2 linked regions of the Canis lupus familiaris genome follow. The protein of the gene in region 2 purifies or fractionates together with the protein of the main gene of each other region. This does not show direct contact. Links are inferred from orthologs where the notes say so. Each region holds a gene or a part of one and is shown on either strand. Other genes may lie near its edges. The genes, in order: KATNIP and MAK.

Evidence for each region.
Region 1: the proteins of MAK (region 2) and KATNIP purify together in Homo sapiens (affinity purification with mass spectrometry; 3 studies listed by BioGRID and IntAct, with this or other methods). This does not show direct contact. The link is inferred for Canis lupus familiaris from reciprocal best matches to the Homo sapiens genes MAK and KATNIP.

Annotation. Positions count from the first base shown.
Region 1 is NC_049227.1:19,123,678-19,132,745, forward strand, and holds part of KATNIP (katanin-interacting protein), read right to left. Parts: intron 7,631-9,068; coding exon 7,547-7,630; intron 6,910-7,546; coding exon 6,184-6,909; intron 5,380-6,183; coding exon 5,174-5,379; intron 2,983-5,173; coding exon 2,904-2,982; intron 1-2,903. UniProt on the Homo sapiens protein: May influence the stability of microtubules (MT), possibly through interaction with the MT-severing katanin complex.
Region 2 is NC_049256.1:11,806,188-11,815,255, forward strand, and holds part of MAK (serine/threonine-protein kinase MAK), read right to left. Parts: intron 8,155-9,068; coding exon 8,100-8,154; intron 7,400-8,099; coding exon 7,278-7,399; intron 5,073-7,277; coding exon 4,993-5,072; intron 2,214-4,992; coding exon 2,081-2,213; intron 1-2,080. UniProt on the Homo sapiens protein: Essential for the regulation of ciliary length and required for the long-term survival of photoreceptors. Phosphorylates FZR1 in a cell cycle-dependent manner. Plays a role in the transcriptional coactivation of AR.

The sequences.
Region 1 (9,068 bases), on a different chromosome or scaffold from region 2:
CACTGGGAGGGTTAGACTTTGAAGCAGGGAGCTGACTCCAACCCCTCTGCATCTTGGAAAATACACTTGGGTTGGGGTCAGGTTCTCCAGGGAGACCAGGGAGGAGGCTGTTGTGATACTGGTGCCCTGGACAAGGGGTGGCCCTGGTGAAAATGGGGTGAAGCGGACAGATTCAGGATCTGTCTTGGAGACAGCACCACCAGGATGTTCAGTGGCTTCTGCAGGGAAGGAAAGAGACAATGTTTTTGACCCAAGCGACAAAGTGGCTGTGGGTACTGGTCCCGAGAGGCAGAGTGCACGATGGCAGAGGGAGTGGATTTGGATGAGGCGATCACCGTGAGGGAGAAATGCAACCTCCCCCAGGCAAAACAAGAGGTGGCCCCCCAGCCTCTCCCCAGCCACCCCCTTTGCTTGCTTGGCACGACGGACTGCAAGGACATCTAATTTGGGGTTGCTCCAAAAGCGCCTGCTCTCCTGTTTGAGCTAATATTCACGTTCTATATTCATTTTCCTCTGGTGTATCAATTAGTATTTATATAAATGGAAATTAATTTTGTTATTTCTCTCCCACGTTTCAACTCTCTCAGCTACTTTCCTATTCATCACTGCTGATATTTGCAAAACGCCCAAAATTAGTGTCATCTGCAAATTAGCAAGTCATATATCCCCTTTCAAAACATTAATAGGATTGGCCATATTTACCAACCCCAGCGCATCCCCCCGGGTCACGTTATCAAAGCTCTCTCCATTTGCACAGGCTGGTGAAGTGGGTTGAGGATTTGAGACAGTGGGGGAAAACAAAAAGGTTCAGACAAGAGAGATTCGGAAATCATATGCCTCCAAAAAGTGCAGAAGGATGCTTGGTCAGGAGGTTCTCCTTCCTACTGAGCAGAGCAGCTGAGAAATCGCACGTTCCTTACGGCAACAAGGGCTCCGAGCTCTGCTCCAGGGCAACACTCCCGAAGGTATTGAAATACATTTCTGAGAAAGGTCAGAAGCCGCTTCAGCAGGAAGGACATTTACAGACAGCATCTTTGGGGAAATGATCAGATGAAGGGGATGGTGGCTGCCTCCCGCCAGCCTCCTTTCCCTCCTTCTCTGGCTGTGGCACTCTGACCTCTACCAGGGCTCCAGGGGGCGGCTGACCCTGGTCTCGGGGCTCCAGGGATGTGCCTCTGCCTCAGGTGTGGCCAATCCCAGTTTTGCACCTCACACACCCCCACTCCCCACCACAGTGAGCCGCAGCCATTGGCTTACAGATGGCAGGTGACCAAGCCAGGCCGAGGAGGCCTGATTCTGGACCCGTTGCTGGACTTCCTGGGAACCAAGGCTCTCATTTATCTGGGATTGCCGGCCAGAACGTGAACGTAAAGCCAGGGCTTCCAGGGGGACCTGTTGTGTGGATGGGTCCGAGTGGGAGAAAGGCAAGAGAGAGCGAGACAGCGCAAAGAGCGGGAGGGAAACACCAAGGCATGATGACATCATTTGCACCCCCAGATCCAGCTGTATGGACCCAATAAGAACGGAGTGTTCACTGAGATACGGCAGGGGAAGCCTCAGCAGGGTGCCTGAGTGGGAGACAAAACCAAGCCCCAAACCAGGCTCTTGCCTGCCCTAGGCTGGCTCTAGAAATTCTCTGTTGTCTCAGACTAAGTGAGAGAAATTGAGAGAGTGTTCTGGAATGTGAGGAGCCATGAGGACTCCAAGTCAGGTATCTTCCCCTTCTAAGAGGGAATTTGTCTTTGGGAAGTGAGGGAGGCAGACACGGTTCTCGCTGGGCAGGTGGGCAGGCCTCTTGGGGAAGAAGTGGGTGGCAGCAAGGCCTCGAGAAAGGGGTGTTGAGGCTGCTGGGGGGTGGTGCCCGGGTCCCATGCCCACCCCTGGGACTGAAGGACTCACTCCTCCAGGGGAGGGGAGTGCCAACAGCCTCACAGTTGAGTCCTCCCACCCTTGCTTCCTTGGCCTTGCCTGTCCCCAGAGGCAGCCCGCATCCCGAAACTTGCAGATACAGACACATGGAGCCCTGACCCCTCACTCAACTCAGGACCGGTTCAAGGGGCCTTTGCAGCTCCAGGGCTCCCTCTGCCCATCCTGCTTGCTGCCCTCCCTCAACAGCTCGCCCCAGGGAACCCCAGCAAAGAGTGGCTGACAGAGTCTCCTGGACGGGGCAGGGGAGAGAGATCCATAAGCCAGGGCCTGGGGTCTGAAGATTCCCCAGGACGCACCACAGGTGCTGGCTGAGCATGTGTACTGAGCGGGGAGGGAGCAGCTGGAAGGGTAAGTGGGGAAAAGAAGAGGGAACAGACACAGTGAAACCCGGATGGGGTTTGCTCAGAGGCCACAGACATGGTGTTTTTAAAATATCATAAAATTAGCCACCCAACACTTAAACTTTTGGAGATTTCACATAAATATCCAAATCTCTGCCTTCTCAGAAGACCCAGCACCCTGGGCTAGTATTCCTGCTGCCCCCGCCCCACCTGGAATGGGGAAGATGCAGATTTTCTTTTATGTGTGCATCTGGGTTTGAAGGTCCCAAATCACTGGACTGACAGATGCCTCAGATCTCTTCCTGTCTGTTCTATGCTTTCTGGGCTCTAGCTGCAGCCTCCTGGGTCAGGGCTACAACTAACACATAAGATGTCTGCACTCAAAATACAAAAGTGCCCTTCTGGAAAGGCCTGCTGCAGAGAGGTGTCCCTCCTCCACAGTGATGTAGACCTGCCACGACCAGCGAGCCAAGTCTAGGCTGTGTTACCCCCCATCCATCCCGTGGCTTGGCATCTTTGTGCCATGTACAACCTGCCCAACTGTCCGAGGGTCCCTGACCCAGTAGCCATGGCTCTCCCTGGCCCCTGATGCTCCTTCTTCCCCTGGACACTGTCCCAAAAGAGGATACTCACAGATCCCGTGGTAGATGCCCGGCTCTGGCGTGGTTACTTCAGGGACAGGGGGACTGGGTGGCGGCTCTAGCCCCGGGATCTACACACGGGTTAGGGGAGAAGCAGAAGGAAAGTAGGTGACTTTTCTGATACCCGTACAGCTGGCTGGCCATGCTACTATCCACCCCGAGCCCCAGATACTCCCTTGTGTCTTGTCTTGCATTTTTTGCCACCATGGAAGCTGTGTGACTGATACCATGGGCAGACCCAGAAACCCCTGTGTGTCTGAGTCCTTGCCAGCACCTCTTGTTGGTAGGGGAGGAGTTTGAGGCCATTGGCTAAGGTGAGCAGATTTTCTGGAGCAGAGAAAGACCCAATAGATGTTTACCTAGGGAGCCTGAGGAAGGAGGCAGGGAGGAGGATCAGCAGAGAGGGATGGAGGGAGGGAAGAAGGGGGAAAAATTCAACCACAGAGAGTGGCCCTCAACCTGAGAGGCCTGGGAATCTGCCTTTTTAAAGCTCCTCCGGTGATTCCCAAGGGAAGCCAGGATAAAGAACCCCTGGTCTACAGGCAGGCAGAGGGGGCAGCCACACCCCACTTCCCAGATCTCATGGGTACATCTTGCTCATTAGATTGCTACACCGTAAGTTAGGGCAAAAGGGCCTTTACTGTTTTGCAGACAAGGAGGCTGAGATGCAAAAGGAGGGGAAGCTGGCTGTCCGGGTGTTAGAGTTTTTTGGTGGGGATGGTGTTTCAGTCCCAGGAATCATGGAACCCTCGGCCTGGCCCCTTAGACATAGCCTCTTGAGGCCCTTTCTTGCCTGGCTGTGGGGAAGAGGGTGAGGAAGATGGTCTTCCAGGAGCATGCACAACACCAAGCAGCCTCAGGCCACCAGGGGAGGCTACTGTCCTGGCCCATGTGCCTTCTCATGCCTTCCTGGGCTCCCTACCCTCCCAGAGCCTCCTGGGACTCTCCCTGGTGGATCTCTCCCTGGTGGCTGCACTGACCTGGACACCGAGACAGGGTGGGTAAGGCTCCAGCCCTGGCACTTTCTAGGGTTGTGACACTGGCCTCCCAGAACACGGGCTCCTTGTCTCTGAGACAGTGAGGATTCCTTCCTGTCCCTCCCAGGCTGGATGTGATCAGAGACCCTTAGAAGCATTTGGAAAACGCTGGGCACATGAAAGGAAGCCTTCAAGGTCAGCTCCCGACTGGAGACCCATGAATCACTTCTAGACCACAGACGTGCTGTGGCTCACAGAAGGTTTGAAAGCCTTCCCACTTAGTTGCCAACGGTTTTTAATTGGGACATTTTCCATAAAAGCCCAGATTTCTGGCTCCTCCCGGAAGAAATCAGGACAACTACCAACATGAACTAGCAGCTCCCGTCTGTCCTGAGAAGCAGGGGCCTTAGCACCCCCTAGTCTTGCATGACACTTCTGCCTACCCCTGCGGATTTTTACCCCCAGTGAACACAGTGGGGATCTGCACACCACAGCCTCACGACCTTGCCGGGCCCTGCCTTCGGTCCTCTGGTTTCCAGCTGTCCCCGCTCCCCTCCCCCACCCTCTGTAACCATCTCCTCTTTCTCCTAGGGCCTCAAGACCATCCCTGGGGGGCCTGGCTCTCCAGATTACTGGTTCTTCACTTAGACTGACCTTTCCCCTGAATGTCGTCTTTCAGTTCCTAAAAAATTGGTTTATGAGGTTAAAAACACAGACTTTGGAGTCACGCATTCAAGTTCTAGCCTGGTTACGCTCCTGCTGTGTGTCCTTGGTCAAGTCACTTAACGGGTCTGAGCCCTGATTTCTCAAATGGGGATACTGGTGATCCCTACTTGCAAGGGTGACACGGTGCTCTATCACCGAATCGCCATACGTGTGCGGAAAATGATGGTGAGGTGATCATTATTTTAATTCTAAGGCTGCCTATTAAAAGCGTTCCTAGTCCTTTCCATCAGAAACAACAGTGAGCGATCAAACCGCAACCCAAAGCAAAAATTCCCCTGAGACTGCCAACCTCTAAATTACAGAGATGACGCAGAACTGATTTCTCCTAGCTTTGATTAAAATTTGAATACTTTCTTCACTTTGCTTAAAAAAAAATAAAAAAATAAAACATAATTAGAGAATGAAATATGACACAGAGGACCAAAAAATGAAGTAGAAAAATGGGAAATGTCAAAACAGTAGCACCAGCAGCTTAAAGGCCATCCATCTTCATCCCTCCTGTTCCACTCGGAGTCAGGAGGAGAAATGTCTCCGGGGGCCCCCTTCCCCCCAGTCCTACCCGGTCCTCAGCCCACGAGCCGGCCCGGGTGTAGGGCCTGTCCCCCCCATCGCTGTCGGCGGTGCTCGGCCTCCTGGGCGTCTCCTCGCTCTGCAGGCTGCAGGGGCTCGCCACATCCCCGTCAAAGGTCTCATCTGAGCAGAATATGGCCTCCAGAATGTCATCGTCCGTCGTGAACAAGATGGTGTCTCCAAAGTGCTCTGGGGCTGGATGGGATGCCAGGGAGAGAGGAAGAGTCAACTCACCCCGCCCGAATCACAATGGTTTGGAGAGCAGGGACCCAGACCCACCAACCTCTGTGCTAAAAACCCCATCCCCAACCACCACCAGTTCCTGATTTGTGTTAGGAAGCCTCCCTTATTATTATTCACACATTTGCAAATGGGATTCACATGCCCCAGGAACCACTTAGTCCTAATGAAGGGATCTAACCTAATGAGAATCGTGATCCGGCCTGAAATGAGAGATGCTTCTAAGGTGTGGGGGAGGCACCTTAGCAGATGCTGTTGGGGCCCCACCCAAGTGCCTGCTGATGCCTTTTGGGGAGCTGGAGGTTTGCCTGGTAGGGCATGGGAGTTACACCCCCAACCTTGGGGAGCCCTGCTGCTCTGCCTTAAGGCAGGACAGACCCTGCAAGTTATGCTCCAGAGCTCCGTTCGGGATCAGGCTGCGATTCGGCTTCCCCCTCGCCCTCGCCCTGCCTAGCGTCTCCCATTCTCATCCTGTCTCTCTCCTTGCACCACAGGCTCTCCTGGGAGCACCCGCAAATAAGTCGCTTGTAGAAGAATCCCCCCTTCTTCAAGGCAGACGCGGAGTAAGGACTGCACCCAGGGGAGGAGTTTAAATGAGGTCAGCTCTTGCGCCCCCCACGCTACAAAAAGCGAGGAGTGAGCCAGGCCCAGGAAGAGAGACCCATCTGTCACTGGCTAGCCAGGGCCTTTTGTCTTTCCTCAGAGCCTCAGCGGGTAGCAGGTAGTGGCTTCCAGAACATTCTTACAGACATACTGTACCTCCCGTCAGGGTCCCCGAGGCCTTGGCGATTTCTCCTTTAAAGATGCACTGTGCGTCTAGCAGCATGGTGATGTCCTTCACGCCACGGAAGGAATGTATCCGAGATTTATTGTAGTTCCATATTCGGATCAGGGCGACTTGGCAAGGGTGCACGAAGTCTATGGAGATGGAGTGGGGCTTGCCCAGTGTGAAGGGGGCCAGCCAGACATGCATGTCGTCCTGGGTCCTGTTCACCCCGTCGATGAGGTTGGTGACCACGCGGGGGTCCTTCCCGTAGGCAGGTAAAACATTGATGTCAGGGGGGTCCGCGCAAATGTTCGCGATTTGCACTGGCTCCCCCTCTGAACTGAATATTTCTATTCCGTTGAGGCCGACATAGTGCCGGTCCCCCCACGTGGACTTGATGTCGATGACCAGGCGCTGTCCGTAAGGCAAGACAGGGATTTCAAAGTCACTGCCGTCGTCGGGCTCTCCGGGGCTGTCCTCCGGGCCTCTCCTTGGCTCTGGCTTCTCCTCCTTGCCGGGGGGCAGCTGCTCGCCGTGCCGGCTGCCCTTCTGCTGCTGCAGGAACTCGTCCAGGATGTCCCCCTGCAGCTCCATGTTGGAGATGCGTCCCCGGTGGGAGCGGTCAAAGGCGCTGAGGGAGTCCCAGGACTCGTGCAGCGTGTGCTCCTGCTCGCTGCAGCACTGGGAGCGCAGCGGCGTCTTGGCGGACTGGGTGTTCTCTGGAAGAACAAAGGAGGGGTGGAGCCCCGTTAGCGGCAGGTGTGCGAGTGGGGACCCTTACAGATCGTCCCAACTGGGGAGCTCTCGGCTAGGTGGGTCGCCCTCGGGAGGGCATTCTAGAAATCAGGGGTGGGGGGGGGTGTTGCTCTTAGCTGTCTCAACGCCTAGAGGCCCTCCTGGCCTTTGACCAGGGTGGGACCAGGATGGGACTCTCCTGCCCTGCACAGGACACTCTGGGCCTCGGGTCACACGCCAACATTCAGCTTGGTAAACACTGATTATGGTTACCCGAGTCTCGATTCTGGTTGTTTTGCAAAAAATGCAAAATATTTTTCAGTGTACTTTGGATTTTCTAAGAATGTGGCCCACATGCAGATCAAGGGCAGACCTTCTGTTGTGTGAGAACCTTTGCAGAGAAGCCATCCTACACTTCAGAGCCTCCCAGGACGGGGTGGCCTGGCGACAGCGCCTGAGTCAGCAGCCAGAGGGGCTGCTCTGAGGCCGCCCTGTCACCTGACTCAGGATATTTTCAAAGAATGGGTGGAATGCTCGCTCGCACAAGAATGCTAGGTGGGGAGAAGCCAGCTGTACTCTTGCGGCCGCCGCAGACCCTGGTTATGGGCAGTGGGCACCTACGTGTAAACATGCTGCTTTCTGAGTGCGGAGTCCGGAGGACTTCTAGCTTCTTCAGCTCCCCATCTTCTGAGCTCCCCAGATGTACTATTTTTATAACCAAGAAAAAGTGCTATAAGAATTGCCAACAACACAGGTATACAGGTAAGGAGTTTACTCCTCTGTGTGGCTAGGCTGGCTTCGAGAAGGGAAGCCTGCGTCCCAGCATGTGCGGAGCGCGGGCCTGGCCCTCAGGGGGCCAGGTCTGAAGGCCGCACTCTCCTCCCTGTAGCACAGAAGAGCCCCGGCGTGCGCCCCCTGCAGCGGCCTGTCCTCACAGCCATGCTGTGGCTAAGTGCCATGGAAGGGTGTCATTCTGGAAAAACAGCAGCTGATGGACACTGACGTTCTGTTTTTCCTCTTTTCATATTGGACTGTGCCTTGCACTCCATTTTCTGCCTGTCTCCTAGGGGGCCTGGCTTCATCAATTATCCTCTCTCTCCAGAACCCTCTGTCACCCCTTCCCCACTGGCACCTTGCCCTCTGTCTGCCTGCAGACATGCATAAATCTCTCCTACTGGAAAGAAAAGGGAAGCTGGACCTGATCTCGTGGCTTCCTCCAAAGGCCGCCCTATGTTCTCCCTCCCTCGGCTGCAGCCCCTGCGCCCTCCCCACTCCCACCTTCCCTCAACCCTGCTATGGGGGGGGGGGGGGGCTCTGCAGAGTTACCTGTTTGGCGCACCTAAGACCCACCTGCCCTCCTCCTGATTTTCCTTTGGGGATGCCCCCACCATCAGACCATCCAGATTAGGCGAATGCTGCCAGCTGTCCTTCTGGGTGGGGAAAGGAGCTATGGAGAGAGAGCAGCTCTCTTTAAACTGGCGCCCCTAGGGGGCAGGATGTTGGACAGTGCCAGTGGCCACTTTGCTATGCTGTGAGTGGCGGGGGTGGGGTGGGGTGGGGTGGAGGGGTGGGGATCCTGGCTGATAACGAAGCCAACACAGGGAACGTGAGCGGAGATGGAGAGAGTCCCGATGACGTCATTTGAGCCCCTAGATTTAGCCATGCCTGAAGCCAGAGCCCCGGTGGCCTCCGTAAGAGTCCTGAAATTCCCACAACCCTCCACTGAGCTGACTTTCTGCAAACCAGATACAGAATCATGATGACTTCCAGGTGGAGTCTTCCACTTGACAGTCCCTCAGGGCTGGCTCAGGGCTTGGGAGCGTTTGTGCTTCCTGTCTCTCCACTGCTTCTGTTGCCAGCCTCTCCACCCCCTAGCCCTACCCCGGGCTTCTGCCCAGCCCTGTCGGGTCCCCTCTCAACACTGCCCTCCCTTTCTGAGCTCACCCAGCCAGCTTCTAGTTGCCAGGCAGGCGCTGCTCAATTTTCTATGGCAAGTTCTGGCTTTTCTTCCTCAGCCACCACTTTCTGGGCCCAGCGACCCCCCACCCCCACCCCGAAGGTCCAGAGGTGTCCACTCTGTCACTTCAAGCTCCCTGTGCCTGAGAGGGAATCTGCCACTAATTCCTCCAATTGGCATTGTCTC
Region 2 (9,068 bases):
CCAATGACGTATGATGGATTCAGTTTCTCCGTGGCTTTGTCAATAGTCATTACTATGTTTTGATATTTTTACTAGATGAAATTGTTTTGAATGTCTTGCTAAGTTTAGATGGTAAAAACGAGTCTTCTCAATTTCATTCCATTTCAGTATAGAATCTAAATTTACCCAGTTGAAAATAGATACTCAATGGAACTGTGCTTCCCCTCAAAAGCTACACAGTATTCCCTTTCTCTGTTAGTGCTGACATCATCCTTCCAGTTACTCAAGAAACAAAACAAAACAAAACCCCCTAGAATCTTTGGCTTCTTATTTTATACCCTACATCTGATTCATCAGGAAATCATGGTTGCTCTACTTTAAAAATAGCACCTCCATGGCCAGCAGATCCAAGTCACTGTCATTTCCTGCCAGAATTACTGTAACAGCCTCCTACCTGGTCTCCCTGCTTCTTTCCTTGCTCTTCTAAAATCTATTTTTAATATAGCCTGGAGAGTAATACTTATAAGACATGTCAGATCACATGGCACCTCTTCTCAGCATCCTCCAGGGGGCTCCCCAGTTCACTCAGATTAACAAACCACCACAGTGCTACTATGATCTATGAAGACCTCTAAGATCTTGCTCTCTGTCAGTTCTCCACCCCATTTCCTAATACAGCCCTCCTTACTCATTCTGCTCTTTGCTGAATTCACATGTGGCTTTCCTGTTTCAAGGCCTCTACACTTAGCATTTTCTCTGCCTGAAAACTCCTTCTTGCCTTGGCATCTCCTTCTCAGGGAGACCCTCTATTTAAAATAACAACAGGCCTTTTCCTGGCTCTTTCCATATTTTATTCTTCTCCATAATAATAATCTATCACCACCTGATATACAATTATTCTTGTTTTTGTTGAAATGTAATACACATACAGAAAAATGCACATATTAGTAAGAGAACACCTTGATGAATTTTCACATAGAGAATACACCCATTGACCCAGCACCAAGATCAAGAAACTGGGTGTTATCAGCATTCCAGGTGGCCCCCCTCCTGCAGTCATGCAATCACTACTCAAGGAACTGCTACCCTGACTTCTACCAGCATAGATTAGTTTTCTCTATTTTTGCACTTTGTATAAATGGAATCATACCTTATGTACTTTTTTTTCCTGTTTGGCCTCTTGTATGTAGTTGTAAACTTATGTTCTCATTGTTGTAAAGCATCCCACTGGGTGAATATATTATGCTGCATGTATTGGACATTTGGGTAGTTGCAGTTTGGGACTATTACATGTCTTTTTTTTTTTTTTTAAAGATTTTGTGTATTTATTCATGAGAGACACAGAGAGAGAGAGGCAGAGACACAGGCAGAGGGAGAAGCAGGCTCCACGCAGGGAGCCCGATGCGGGACTTGATCATAGCACTCCGGGATCACGCACCCTGAGCCAAGGGCAGACACTCGACCACTGAACCACCCACGTGTCCCATGAGACTATTACATGTCTTTTGATAAACATCTGTATGTCTTTCTGTTGGTAACTATGTTTTTAACTGGTTTATTTGTATACTGATGTCAGGTCAGTGGCCTGAGACAGTGTTTTTCTGTTTCGTTCATCTCACTGTTCCCCATGCCTGAAATAGTACCTAGCACATAGTATGTTCCACAAATGTTTGTTGAATGAATGAGTGAATGAATGAAATCTCTTTTCTTTCAGAATAGTCATGACCCAATCCTCTCTCTACAGAAAGCAAAATTCAGTTCTATAGTTTTTTTTTTGTTTTTTAAATTTTTGAAAAATATTTTATTTGAAAGACAAAGATAGTGACAAAAATAGTGAGAGAGAGTATGAACAGGGAGAAGGAGAAGCAGGCTCCCTGCTTCTCCATGAGCAGGAAGTCTGATGTGGGGCTCAATCCCAGGATCCTGGGATCATGACCTGAGCCCAAGGCAGAACCTTAACCGACTGAGCCACCCAGGTGCCCCTAGATTTTGTTTTAAATACTCAATATGGAACCTCTAGAAAGCTACGTAATGATCCCCTACTGTAAAATTTCAGCATAGACCTACCTATATCTCTAGGAAGTTGTATAAAACTACTCACCATCTGGTAGATACATAATCAGTATATGGTGGCTGTGATCTTAATTCTCTTGCAAGTCCAAAATCAGCAATTTTCACAAGTTCTGGCCCCATACAAAGCAAGTTCTCTGGTTTCATATCCCTATGAAAAAAACCTTGGTAACAGAGAGGAAGAATAATTGATCATTATGTTTGAATATATTTGACTTCTAAACAAAATATAACTGAGACTCTCTGTTGTAATTAAGAATGTGAACTTAGGAGAAAAAAAGAAACCATATTTATTATCTAAAAAGTGATGGACGTGGGACTCTGCTTTCAAAATAATTTGGTAAGAAAGTTCACAGAGTATATGAAGTCATTAAAAATACCCATTTAACACATATTTATATTTGTGAATCCAGTAAGTTCAAGCAATGGGCTAGATATTGCCACTTTATGATTATCTCCATTCATTTGCACAACAGCTTTGAGGAGGTATTATGGTCACTATTGTGTAGTAAAGGAGGAGGTAGAGGCCCAGAGAGGAGGAGGCTAATTAAAGCCTGAAGAAAGCTGCATAATCAAGCTTATGTCACTTCTTTGAAAAATCTATTAAACAAAATTGAGGGATGCCTGGGTGGCTCAGCGGTTTAGCATCTGCCTTTGACCTGGGACGTGATTCTGGACTCCTGGGATCGAGTCCCATATTGGATCCCTGCATAGAACCTGCTTCTCCTCAAAAAAAAAAAAAAAAAAAAAAAAAGAACCTGCTTATCCCTCTGCCTGTGTCTCTGCCTCTCTCTCTGTGTGTGTCTCTCATGAATAAATAAATTAAATCTTTTAAAAAAAAAACAAAAATGGAACTCCATGCATTTTAGCCAATTCTTTGACTTACCATTAGTTACAATTATTTTATTTAACAGCTTTCATTTACAAATATTTGTAATTATTTTATTAACAGCTCAGTTTTCCCCGGTAGCAGCTTTATGGTTACTTATCAATTCAATATGTAAAATAAGTGGTTACTGAAGCTAAAAGGCAGATCAATGAAAATGAGCCAGAAAACTCAGGAAGATGAAAGCCTTTATACATTTCTAAGGGAGATCTATAGCACCCTGGCTGTACACAGATGGGCTGTATTCTAATGACCTTGCGATTGGGAGAATCAAGAAGGGGCCTGGTCATCCATTGTAGGTGATCGTTGTGAGGGCCTGTAGCTTTCACCTTAAATTTTTTAAGTCAAAGTTTAAACTAAGCTTTTTGCTTCCTTCTAAGCCAGTGTGGGCTCTATGTTCGTGACATCTATAGCGGTTCTGTACTCAGTTTATCTGGCACTTCTTACTCAAAATAGTTATCTATTTTACAAACTTTCAAGGGAAATACACTGCACTTTCATAACATGAAGACAGGGATAGGAGCACATGTGGTGGTGAGTAAAGCGACATAATCCATAAAATCATAGAGAATAAAACCAGCATATTTGTACAGTTGAGGTTTTCCCCATTCTCACTACTATATATCGGTAACTTGGTACTATTTTAACTGAAATATTAATCTTGTTTTTTTGACAGCTACTATTTAAAAAATACTTACTCGAAGCATTACATCTGAGACGCTTATCCACTATAGCAAGAATAATGTAGCTTTTGTAAAAATGTCTATTGTCCTTGGAGTCTAGTGTCCCAAATCTCTGTGTCATCAGTTGTATAATCAACTGTACATTCATTATTCATGTTATTTACTTTTAGCAGCAATTTTTAACCCCAAGCTAAATTCTTCCTTCAATCACTTATGCTCTGAATTTGCTAGTAGTTCATATATATCCAAGGAATCTAAGTCAGTTTTATCCTTAAAAACTTAAAAATATCCTTAAAATAATCAATAAATCCTTAAAAATATCAATAAATCGCAAAGCTATTTCCAAAAATCAAATAAGTCATAATGCTTTTGATTTTTCCACACCACAGTTTTTCTACTGGCATAAGTTAATGCAGGCAAATATCATGAGTTACCATACTGGCCAGTATTTAAAAACAGGTTGAAGATTGGAAATCCATTATCAACAAATAAGATAGCATATATCCTTTGTTTCCAAATAATTAAAAAATGACTGACTTTTAGTAATGGATTGCAGTATATTATCACAGGCTTTCGACTTTTAAAGGACAAAAAAGTGGGATTCGGGAATGTTCTGACAATGCTTACATGGAATAAATAAATTATTTCCTGTAGCAGTTAAAGGGGAAAAGAAAAAATATAAAATATGAGATAAAACAGGAAAGCACGCTAATGATGGTGATTTTCTAATGCTTCTGGTCATAACGCAGCAATGGTCTAGCACAACCTCTTTCAATTTAGTATCTAAACATCTAGTGATTCTAAACAAACATTTGATAAAAATTTTCATAATAAGCATGTTAACTTTCTGGACTAATTGGTTAGATAAACATAAAAAGCTATAAATGAAGATCACATAAATAAGAAATGTATAAAAATAGGAACAATCACTTTATTTAATTTTACTCAAAGAACAGAAACAACCAAATGTAAATACTAAGAAAACTATAAAATACCATAGCACTGGTGCTTTAAACTATTTAAATGTTAACAAGTGGTCAGATGATCATTCCAATCTTTTCTTAGGGCATTTTTGTTTGCTTTTTTTCATTTCCTTGGTAAAACTGGAGATGAGGTTGTAGGGACGGGTTTATGCTGAGAGTAAATTATCAAATTTACAAATTCTGCTACGGAGGAAGATAGTTGTAGATTACAGCAATTCTATTTTATAAAGAATTATAGAAATTCTAAGTTTTTAAGATAAAAATGTCAGTGTGTATAGCCACATACTGCAAATTTGTAGTTATTCAATATAACATTATTTAACAGCTTAAAATTCCTGGGCATGACCTTGACAGTAATATAAAGATGGAGGGAGATGAAATTTAAACCTACCGTGTTTATGGATAAATGCCAGCCCTTGCAATATTTGATACATAATATTTCTGATGACTGACTCAGGGAACAGCTTGTTTCTGTAAAGACATGAACAAATAAACCTTCATGTAATTCTATTAACCAACCAACCAAAACAAGAAGGCAGATGTTCCTCCTCCCCTGGAGCCCCTGTTGGCTTCAAGAGAGTGGTTAAAGGTGTGATTTATAACTTTATAGTTGTTACAGGTTATACATCTAAAACGTGACAATTAGAATTTTTGTTTGTTTTGATGTTTGGTAAAAACTCTCAAATCCAATAATGAATGTACTATACAAATATTCAACAGCTGAATTTTAAACTGTCCTGAGAGGAGCAAAGTAAATTGGAAAACTGATAACCAACAGATAAGTCAAGTGTGCAAATCTGTATTATGTAGGCTTTAAGATTTTAGGGGCATAACTGCTTCAGTTCTATATTGTCTACTGGTACCTTCCACTGGAAATACAGTAAGAGTCACAAATGAGAAACCCTTACGTATTTAAATTTTTTCTAGTAGCCAAATTAACAAAGCAGATAAAACAGGTGAAATTAGTTTTAACAATATATTTTACTTAATATATACCAGATATTTCAACATGTGATCAAAAATATACAATATAAAAATTAATATATATCATTTAAGATTGCCTATCACCTGATTATGATTTTTTAATATTCTAATCTAGTTCTAATGCATTTATATGCATAGCTTTTATATTAGGTATCAATGTTACATAATTACAATTTTGATTTCTGTTTTTTATCCACTCATGGGAATTTTCATAATCTTTATAATTATCACTTTTAATGGCTACAAAATAATCCCATCAATATTACACACTTCAATTACCAATCTATTCTCCCATTGATAGTTATTTCTTTTAAGTAGTAGAGATAAGTGAAGCATGGTATAGTCATTTAACAGAACATATTAACTGTTAAGGTTATATATCAGCATAACAAAATGATTGTAAATGAATCAATTAAATAAAAAAATGATCACCACTAAAATTGCAATTATGTAAAAAACCAGCATGCCTGTATCCCAGGGGCTAGAAAGAACTCTAGAAAAATAAACACTGATTTGAGGCACAGATATTTTCCTTACTTTTATTTTAACTGCTATGAATGTTGTAATGATACCAGCCTATGGAACCTAACAGGCATTTACTAAGTATTTTTTTTTGAAAGAAGAAAAATATGACAAAAGAAAAATTCACTCACCATCCCTAAGGATTACCTCGAGTGTGTTTATGTGTATGTATGAAAGGAATATAGAGAGAGCAGTCATCATTCCACTGGGAAATATATTTCTAAAGTATCTTAGCATCTTTTGTTGAACAAACCTGGCTTTAAAAGCAGGTAAAATGGACAGTAGTCTCCCACGTGTGACTGATAGCTACCACCGAAATACTAACGTCCCCAAATTCATGGCAGATGACTAAAGCTCTCCCGCTTTAGAGATTCTGTTCATGGGTTTAAAAATGAAAATGAGAATTTGTTTGGCACTGGTAGTAACATTGTTTTATCATTCACTTAAACATTCATTTTTTTTAAAAAAGATTTTATTTATTTTTTCATGAGAGACACAGAGAGAGGGGCAGAGACATAGGCAGAGGGAGAAGCAGAACTCGATCCCAGGACCCAGGGATCACAACCTGAGCAGAAGGCAGACACTTCAACCACTGAGCCACTCAGGTGTCCCCCACTTAAACATTCTAATAAGTGAACTTATTAGATCCCTTCATGAAAACTGCCTCATTTCTTCCTCCCTCCTTTCATTAACCTTCACAAAATGCTTGTGAGAGCAATAAAAGTAATCTCAATTTTGTCCAGGGCCAGCTTTATTAGTATTAAAAGTATAGAAAGATTTTGGGGACACTTGGGTGGCTCAGCCGTTTAGGTGTCTGAGTCTTGATCTCAGCTCAGGTCTTGATCTCAGGGTCGTGAGTTCAAGCCCCATGTTGGGCTCTATGCTGGGTGTGGAGCCTTCTTAAAAAACAAGCCACACAATAAGCCAAAATATAGATAGATTTTGTTTCAGAAAGTATAGATAGATAGATAGTGTGTATGTTTACATCAGAAAAATGGTGACTATGTCAAGGCTGGTTCTTCAAGTTTATAAAGGTAACAGCTAATTAATTTAGATCCTCCTCTTGGAGTGATAAATCTGTACACTGTAAAGTGTGACATATGAAGGGATTCAACAAACTCATAGAAGAGATAACAGAGAAAACATCATTTTTATAAAATAAAGACATACCTGTCTTTCATTAATTGATAGAGGTTTTCTTTCATATATTCAAATATAAAATAGAGATGGTCATTTTCTCGGATAACTTCTTTTAGTTTAATCACATTGGCATGATTGAGTTTCTTCAGAGACTGTAACACAGCAAATAAGCATTAGAATTCTTAAAGTTATAGAAGTTGTCAAAATCTCATCAATCTCTATGATAATTACCTTACGTTATCTTCCATTTCTTCTGAATTCATGAAGTTTTAATGTTTTTATATAATATCTTATATAAAATTTGAAGTTTTTATATAATATTTTACATGACTAAGAACATCTTAGAACACCAATCTAAAGTAAGTGGTTTTAAGTAATGAATGAGGTACAAAAATAAACCAAGTCAATAATACCTACCAAACATTTCAATCTGTCACATTTTTTTCTCAGTCTATTCAATAGGCCTAAGTTTTTTCTGACTTAACAATGTGAAATTCCATACATAAAAATGTATCCAAGTCATATAGCATAAAATAGAAAGAAATGGTATGTAGTAATTAAAAGTTGTCTTTCCTTTGATGACATGAATGAAAATGCTCTTTTAAAAGTGAGAGTATATGTTCAAATATGAGGGTATAGTGGTTTTTTTCTGTCCTTCACTGACATTCAGATAACAAATGAGAAATTACTTTACTTAGGAAGATAAAGAAAAAAAAACAAAAGAAATACAGTTATTTTTGGACTGTTTCCCACAAAGAACAGAACAATCCCTTTAGCTACCGTCCTCAGAAACGAGACAGGGTAAGGCAGAGGGAAGGCCTCTTTGGGTTCTTTTCATCAGCAGGATTTTACCTTAACTTCTCTCAAATTCATACATTCATCCCAAGAATAGAACTTTCTCTTCATTCTGAAATCAAACAAGAAAACTTCAGTGCACAGAAACAGAGGTTTTGAAACACAAATTACGCTGTTGGCTTTCCTACTCTACTATTCACTTCGGGCAAGCTGTGATCTCTCTCTCCCTCCTCCTTAAAGGAAGTCACCTACCTCCCTTCTCTATATCTCAAGGCTGTTTGGGACCAGTTCGCAATTATGTTATATCTGAAGTTCTGCTTTAAACACAATGGTGAAAGGATTACTATTAATCATCCTTTCTGGGTGTGTTCTCACATATCCCTGATCAGTTAAATTGTAAGAGGCCCTTCTAAAAGGGCCCCTTCCAAATTTCCACTTTCTAGAACAGGTAAATATGAAACACTAAGGTGTGTCACAAATTTTGGTAGCAAATTTAGTGAAATAATTTGATCTGACAACTTCTGTATCATTGCTTCCACTTTAAACGAGAAGTCCATTAAGTAAAATGATTCAGGTCAATAAAAATTCAGAAGCAACAAAACTTTAGAAATAGCTTTCTTTTAAAAAAATTTTTTTCTTGATTTTTATTATTGAAGTGTAGTTGACATACAATGTTACATTAGTTTCAGATATCTAACATAGTGATTCAACAATTCTGTACATTGTGAAATGCTCACCATGCTAAGTGTAGTCACCATCTGTCACCACATGGCATTATTACAGTATTATTAACTATATTTCCTTTGCTATACTTTTCCTCTCTGTAACTTTATTTTATAACTGCAATTTTACACCTCTTAATCCCCTTCTATTTCTCTCATCTACCCATTCAACCTGCAACAACTAGTTTGTTCTCTAATTTTAGGAGCATGTTTTTTCATTTTCTTAAATTTTCTTTTAGATTCCACATATACATGAAAACATATGGTATTTGTTCCTCTCTGACTTACTTTACTGAGCATCATA